Linked DNA regions of Tribolium castaneum. The protein of the gene in region 1 purifies or fractionates together with the protein of each later gene. This does not show direct contact. Links are inferred from orthologs where the notes say so. Each region holds a gene or a part of one and is shown on either strand. Other genes may lie near its edges.

The links.
Region 2: the proteins of Rilpl (region 1) and Rab10 purify together in Homo sapiens (co-immunoprecipitation; 3 studies listed by BioGRID and IntAct, with this or other methods). This does not show direct contact. The link is inferred for Tribolium castaneum from reciprocal best matches to the Homo sapiens genes RILPL1 and RAB10.

Annotation. Positions count from the first base shown.
Region 1 is NC_087401.1:11,058,392-11,062,678, reverse strand, and holds the start of Rilpl (RILP-like protein homolog), read right to left. Parts: upstream 2,809-4,287; coding exon 2,494-2,808; intron 2,381-2,493; coding exon 1,931-2,380; intron 1-1,930. Other genes in the region: homologous recombination OB-fold protein, read left to right, coding at 3,030-3,065, 3,111-3,251, 3,297-3,830. UniProt on the Homo sapiens protein: Plays a role in the regulation of cell shape and polarity. Plays a role in cellular protein transport, including protein transport away from primary cilia.
Region 2 is NC_087394.1:30,236,437-30,240,260, reverse strand, and holds Rab10 (ras-related protein Rab-10), read right to left. Parts: upstream 2,381-3,824; 5' UTR 2,241-2,380; intron 2,194-2,240; exon of another isoform or gene 2,191-2,193; 5' UTR 2,185-2,190; coding exon 2,058-2,184; intron 1,866-2,057; coding exon 1,666-1,865; intron 1,616-1,665; coding exon 1,526-1,615; intron 1,477-1,525; coding exon 1,282-1,476; 3' UTR 512-1,281; downstream 1-511. Other genes in the region: dynein axonemal assembly factor 11, read left to right, coding at 1-71, 116-346, 394-505; protein lifeguard 1, read left to right, coding at 2,972-3,002, 3,115-3,345. UniProt on the Homo sapiens protein: The small GTPases Rab are key regulators of intracellular membrane trafficking, from the formation of transport vesicles to their fusion with membranes.

The DNA of each region.
Region 1 (4,287 bases):
ATATTGACAGATAAAGCCACGTTGAAGTTATTTACGCAATACATTTCATTGCTAAGGTAACTGTCATGAAAAACAAGAACAAAATTTTAAAAAATCGCATGGTATAAGTTATCAAAAATGTCCGTTGTGAAAAGGTGTCGTTATTAGAGCAGGTTTCACTGTATTTATGTCGTTTTTATCACGTTTGTGTTCTAAAAAAACAGTGTTTTTTCTTGAAATTTTGCTAACACGTGCCGAGAAATCGTTGACTTAAGTCACAAGTCACTTTTTTTCGCATTTTATCACAATTTCCAGGCAGACTTGCAATTTTTTTGTTTTATTTCGTCAGAAATATACCGAACTGGGTAGCAAACGGTGTTATTTTCGCTTTTTTATTACTTTTGAGCCTTAAACTTACCTTTTTTTTGTGAAATCATTTTGTGAGTCTTTTATGTAACTGTCAGTTTGCCACCAGATATGGAGGAACAGCATCTATCGTTTACTGGAAGGAATAAAAAAAAATTCTACTGAAGATTATCTACTGAAGATAAACTCGCACCATAAGACCATTTCAATTTATACTTAAAAGAGTAGGCGTTTTTTTTCTTTGTCATTGATAAATTAGTGCAAACTGTGAGAAAAAAATATATTCTAAATTCAAATTAATTAGTTACCGTTCGAATTACCGTTCTGTACTTAATCATTAATTTGTAATATACTTATTGCGCCTCAAAATCACAAAAAGCAGAGGCATATACTGCCGTGCTAAGCAAGAATGTCGCAACTGATTTTATATGAACCTTGAGTTATGTCTTGTTTTCTACATTTTCAGAGTGCACTGTTATTTTAAATGCTAGTAACATGGAATATTGAAGTCAACCTAACAATTTATTTGTAAAAAGGAAATATGTATGCAATTGTATCCATTATTTTGCCAAATCGCTGTTATTCCACATACGACGTTTAATTTTTTTATTTATTTTTTTAATTAAGTAAAAGTAACTAAGTAAAAAAGTCGTAACTACAAAAATATTTATTAACGGCTTTAAACAAATGAAATAATACGTAACAACAGCAAATTTATAAAAAAATGTACCCAAGAAATTACACCTAGCGTACGATACTTTTGAAATAAAAGCAAATTTTGTCAAAAAATCAATCGGTTTTCTGGTAGAATATTTTTAAATTTTTTTAAGAGTTACTGTTTTCTTTCTGTATCTATGCCATTTGTTGTGTGTTTTTGAGTGGGTTTTTTGAATATGATGTTATTGATGTTAGGAAATTTAACTCTATAAAGTCGCTATCAAAACTGCATCTATATTTCATGTTTTTTTTCCTCGTTCAAACGTAACGTTAACCATGTCGCTTAGGTAAGGTCGATTAATAATTTTGGCCAATTTGTACTGTGAACTGTAGTCTTCCCATTTAAAAAAGTTTTCAATTTTCATTTGTTTAATTTTAGTTCTTGTACCCGTCCTTCCAACCGAATTGACAAAATCGTCAAAGTCATACACTTTTTTTTGTTTTTTTAATTGTAATTCGACTTTGTAAACAACCAAACTTGGTGGTACCTAATGTTTTTGATTAATTTTAGAAAATATACAATTTTTGATTCATTAATGAGTGGGTTTCATATACATTTTATAGTTACGACTTTCTTGCTAAGTAATATTGCACAAACCCCACATACGTCAATTTTATTTACGTATTTCGTCTTATTAATTTCTGGATAATATCTATTAAAGTTATTTAGAATCAAAGTTATTGCACTATTGATCTCAGACTTTGTGTTATCTCAAATTTGACAAAAAAGTCAGTTACGACGTTCTTGCTTAGCACGGCAGTATAACCGTTTAAATAAGCATACTGGATGACGTAATTCGCGCGCTATGCTTCTATTGGCTAATCATTACCAGACACCCTCCCATTACAAAGACTGAACCGAACCGACTTTTGCAAGATCTTCGTTTTCCTTCTGCGCCAAACCCAATCTTTGCCTCAACCCGACGATATCTCGTTGTTGGTCTTGAAGTTGGACGAGAAAATCGGCCCTTTCGTCGCATAACGTGCGCACTTGGCTTTGGAATAACTTATGTTTGCGGCGAAGCTCTCGACTCGTGTTGTTCAGACGTTCAACTTGCGATTTCAAATTTTCAATATCGTGGCATTTCTCTTGTAGGAGATTGTCTTTGAGGCGGATTTCATCGCGTTGTTTCTCCACACTGTCTTTCAGCTTCTGTAACATGTCGCCGTTAGGCGGCGGCGACAAGGGGGGCACCTGTCGATGGGGAGACGTGGAGTTGTCTTTGGCCAATCGCCGGTTTTCCTCCTGGAGACGTGTGACCACAGAAAGCAATTCTTTGGTTTCAGAACGCCATTGTTCTTCAATGGCTTCCAGTTCCTTGAAACAGTTTTAAATCTAGTCACCTCACAAACGCTACCAACCGTTTAAACTGGTACAAATTTTAGTTACTAGAAGGAGAAAATGAGTAATAATAAGTTTTACAAGCTTACTTTTTCAAATTTTTGCCGATATTCCGCCTTTTCCAACTTGTCATTTTCCAATTGTGCTATTTTCAGTCGAAGCTCATGCAATTGTGTGTTTTCGCGTTCGTTGCGTGTGGCCAGATTTTCGAGCAATTCTAAGGCGTTAATAACTTTGGGCATTAACGAAGTCACAGCATCAGCACCGTATTGATCAATGATTTTTTCGCATTCTTTGCCAATATCGGAAGCAATATCATAGACATCGACAACACTGACTTCCCCACCGAAATCACCCTCTTCTTCCATATTTTCAACGTCGAAGGGGTACCGGGATCGAGGCATCAAAACTTTTTGCAAAAACTCCTCACACTACACCTTATTGATCACAACAAAAACAGCAATTTTTTGCTCAAAGCTGGCGATTTTTTACGCGTTAGATTGGCGACATTGTCAAAGTCCTGTCGGTAAAGTCGGAACCCAACTCGAATTTTAAATTAATTTCCCTTATTTTGGCACTAAAACTGGGCAAAACCCCAGTCAATGCCCCAAAATCACAAGCAGAAATGTTCGAAAGTGATACCGACTTTGATTTTGGTGATGTAAGTTAGTTTTGTCTAAAGTGAGGTTATGTCATTGTTTATCAGGACTTGGGTTTAAATTTCGATAAAATTAACAAACACCAGAGTCATTCGCCCCCCAAACGCCCCAAAACAGTAAATGCCCCCGTTAAGCGTAAATTCCCAGGACCTGCGGGGCTCCTTGACTTGGAAAACACGAAAAATGAGGCAAGTGTCGTGGGGCCATCCCAGGGGGCTATAATTCAATTTTAGGTCATTCCGTGCTCCCAAATGTCTTTCTCCGTGTTCCAGGCAGCCCCCTGGCTCCAAATGTGCCGCGACCACGAAACGTTAATCGACCAGTTTGATATTAATTGGATTAAGGGGGCGGCAACTCGCGAGGAATTGCCAAATCGCAAGGCCCCATTTCTGGGGGCTATCATTAAAAGCGTCGAATGTTTCGAGGGGAAAAACACCATTGTTAAAGTTGTCTTGAAAGACCCCACGGGGGAGATTCAGGGCTCAATAATTCATAATTTATTTGAGGAGTATTCGGAATTTTTAGTTGCCGATTCTGTGATTGTTTTGAGACAGTTTAGTGTCATTACAACTAGTTCAGGTAATCACTACTTGACCATAACTCCAAATAATTTGGTGGCGATTTATTCGAGTTCGGGGGTCAAAAAACTACAAGAGGTGTCCAATGAGGGGCCCAAAAAACCAACCGAAACTAAGCCAAAAGACGAAGAAATTTGGGCAAAGGCACTCGATGGGGTCGATCTTGACTCGCTTTTTGATGATTTTTGATTTATAATATTTATAATAATAAAGAATTTAATTTTTGAAAACCCCGCCTTTAAATCTCCCATAGCAACCAAAGTAACGCTTAGCCAATAGCCGCAAAGCGCGCGAACTACGTCATCCAGTATGCTCATTTAAACCGTCATGTAGACTTTTCGTGATATTACGGCACAACAAATACATAAACGCTTAATTTAAAGATTTGACAAATACGAATATGTAGAATAATAACAAACAGACGTTTGTTAAAACAATTTTTTGTTTAACTAATAAATGACGATTTATTAATCGTTGCTAACACCGACCTTTAATTACCATTTTATTGATTGAAAACGAAAAAAAAAATTAAAATTTCATAAATATATACTTTTGTTTTATTTGTAAAATGTTTGCATTTTCTTGGCGCAATTTCTAGTGGCACTGTTTTCCGAAATTTTTTTTATAAACGATACCTCAAAAACTA
Region 2 (3,824 bases), on another chromosome or scaffold:
CAAGCTAAACTAGAGTTTAAATTTAACGATGAAAACCCGGAAAAGTTTGTCCTTGATCTCGCCGTTTACAAGTACGTTAGTGAGTGATTTTTTCCACATTTGCAATGCTTTGTAGGTATTTGGATACGAACTTAATTGAAATTGACTTGCAACCAATCTACGCAAGAATTTTAATTAAGGGAAAAGTGTTTCAAATCGTTTTTCCGGAGGAAATCCTTACTGATAAGAGTACGGCAAAAAGGTCACAAACCACCGGGCATTTGGTGCTGGAATTACCTAAAGCTAACTACAAACCATTAAAACGAAAAACAGTGAAGAAAACATCGCCCCCGAAAGAAAGAAAAAAGTAAGTGTGAATTGTACCCCCATGTGAAATAACCGAACGTTTGTTAGGGAAGTTTTGGAAGTGCCAGAATACAATGAAATGGATTTTAGCAAAATTGTGGAGAATTATAACAAAAAGTGTTCAGAGCACCCAGAAGTGCCGCCTTTGGAGTATGGATAAACGTGGTCAAGTTATTATGTTTATTTCTGCAAAAGCTTATTTTTATACACGTAAATAAATCGTTGCGAATTCTACAATAACTGAACTTTCTAACAAATAAACACATAGATAAATCAAGGTATAAGCACAGACACACATATACTAATGTACAGGAGGACCAGAGAATTAATGGCTAATATTTGAGAGAACTGTAACTTAAATAATTCTTCTAATAGAAACTTAAATTGTCAACTTAGTCTAACACTAACGTAGTTTTCCTCTAGGTCGTTCTGTTCAAATTTAATGTCCATTGTCAAATATAGTGTTGAAAGCAAAAATAACAACATGAACTTGAGACTTAATAAAATTGTTCATGACTATGTGAGCAAAGTAAAAACGTGAAATGATTTAACAGTTTTAAAGTACATTTTATATTCTACATCACACTGGATAATGTTAAAGCAATTGGCTTATATTAAATATATTAAAAAATAATTTGTATTTCGACATTTACCATGTAATAAGTAAAGCACATTTATGAAATAATGAAAGTTGTGCCTCTGTAATTCCAGTTGGATGATTTTGAAAATATGAAACCAAAAATCAGAAGCTTTCAGCAGTATATTGCTTTGTAGAATTGTCTCAACTACAGCTACACTCAGATTTTTGGTTTATGACACATACAACAGCACAATGAACTGACTTCTGTAATGAAAATGATCGGTAAAAAATCTTGTTCAGTGAATTTTATTTGAAATCAGTTTTTATGCATAATTGAGAAGTTCAAATGTTTAAAACTAGTTATTACAGCAAGACCTGGAGGTGTTTGACTGCTGTTTTCTATCTACCAGTACCCTATCCACGTGATCACCTGGCTCTCTGCCAGCCGTTTTATCTAAAATGGCCTCTGCAAGGTCATTAAAAGCTTTATCTATGTTTATGTTAGCTTTTGCTGAGGTTTCCATAAATCTGATGCCATGCTCACGTGCGATCTGAAAAACCCCATAAACAAACAATAAATTTGGGTAACGTTGTATTTACAGTCTCTCCCCGTTCTTTGCTCACTGTCCTCTTATCAGACATATCACATTTGTTACCAAGGATCATTTTTTCGACGTCTTCATTGGCATGCTGCAATTTTCAATCGTAAGAACACTAAAACTCAACAATTGGCCCCTGACCTCGTCTATGTTCCTTAACCATTTCACTATATTTTCAAAACTTTTTTCATTCGTAATATCGTAAACTAGCATTATTCCCATGGCACCTCGATAGTATGAAGTTGTAATTGTGTGGAACCTTTCCTGTCCAGCTGTGTCCCATATTTGCAGCTTAATCTTTTTCCCCCTTAGCTCGACTGTCTTTATTTTAAAATCTATACCTAAAAAACGGGATATTTAAATTTGGCGCCTGCAAAGACCTCACCCCGTGCAGATAAAAATACACCAAGGAAAAACGGAAGCTATTGCAACACAAAGAAGCGATCTCTGGACCAATTCAAGCGTTCTTTTTTGTATGAAATGGACCATGAATTAAAGAACAACAAATAGGGTCAGAGCAAAGGTTAACTTACCTATAGTTGATATAAAAGTCGTCGTGAACGCATCATCGGAAAACCGGAAGAGTATGCACGTTTTCCCCACGCCAGAATCGCCGATTAAAAGCAATTTAAATAGCAAATCATATGTTTTTTTGGCCATTTCTTTCTACTAGCAAAATTATAATTAATTTTTTGACGTTCAACAGTTCAACCTACCAAAACAATAAAAACACCAGGCCAGGGCGGCCAACATCGATGCACAAATATACCAAATTGTACGTTTTTTTGCGGAGCGATAAGTTTTACGTGATTTCCTCGAACTTTGATTGATTAGTCTACGTTTGTTTACGAATAAAAGCCATAAATTTGTGCCCCAAATTTATTTTTTGCCACAAACGCCCAAAAAACGTGTGCGCATGTCGATTAAAGTAGCCAATGGCAGCGCAGTAAATTTTCTCCTGATGTCAAATGTCAGAAAATTCCAGATAATTTTGTTGCCTTTTCCATTTTCCAGAATAGCGATAAGAGTGAGTAATGCGGTATTGTTCCAAATAATTACTTAATCAATTCATTTAGCAGTTTTCCTGTGGCGGAAGTGATTAATTGCCGACAACAGCAGGTATGTGTTTTGTGATTTGACCCATATTATTTACACCTACTTTCATCACTGCTTGTTGTGGTTTACACGGGCGTATGTCTTGTAAATATTGAAAATCAACTTTATTTCGCAATTAAAAAGGTTAATCTTGGTCTGGCTCTAGTCGTTGAGGGAATTTTACTTAATGCGTCTAACATTTTTAATATTGATTTTTATACATTGATGAGTCATGTATTTACGAGTGGTAGCTTTTCGGAAATGAAATGAAATTCAGAACTTAGCCGATTGTTAACGTTTTCTTCACGTTCGCCAAGTTTCATTCTTGTAAACTGTTTTTTTCTATTACAGCATGTCTTGGAACAGTGGACCATATCCACAAGGTAATGTAGCCAGCCTATTAAAAACAACTATAGACTTATCTTAATTGTGGGTGATTATGGCGTTTTGTTTTATTTACGTTAACTACACTTTATATCTTGTGCTATTAAATAGGAAATCAAGGATATTATGGTGGCCCTCCACCACAGCAACCGTACCCAGGCGGTTATCCCGGGGCGCCTCCGTCAGGATACCCGGGTGCCCCGCCGCCAGGTTATCCCGGTGCTCCAGGAGGATACCCAGGACAACCTGGTTTCAATCCCCCACCACCACAACCACCCTATGGAAACCCATATGATTCGGCACCGCAACAAGGTGAAGCTGCACCCTTTAATAATCACACTGGTTCGTTATCTTTCAGTTCTGAGGGTTACTTTGCTTTGCCCAATGCTTTTGTTCTAATCTAACGGTATACCAAACTTTCGTTAATGTTTTCTGTGCTCTTGTGACTAACTTTACAGAACTAATTATTCATTAAAGGGAATCGAAGATTCAAAAATCTTTTTGGAAATCATTCATGTGGTAACCGTTGCGTTAGGTTTTTCACTTTTCCAAAATATTTGGGAGCCATATTACGTACAAGTTGCAAATTAACAGTTTTTCTGAACTTGTTTAAATTTCGAATTTTTTTTGTGTGTGTGAGACAATAAAGTGTTATTACGTCTGCCCTAATAAGCCAAATCGTTCAATAAAGTCAACGTTAGTTACAAAGTTTTGCAACTTAAGAAATAATTGATTGTGTAGAGGGGTGGTGTTGGTTGATTAGTTCTCGAAATTGTTTATTTTTGTATTGCTGCGAATGCTTGTGCGCCTGTGTGTTGAAA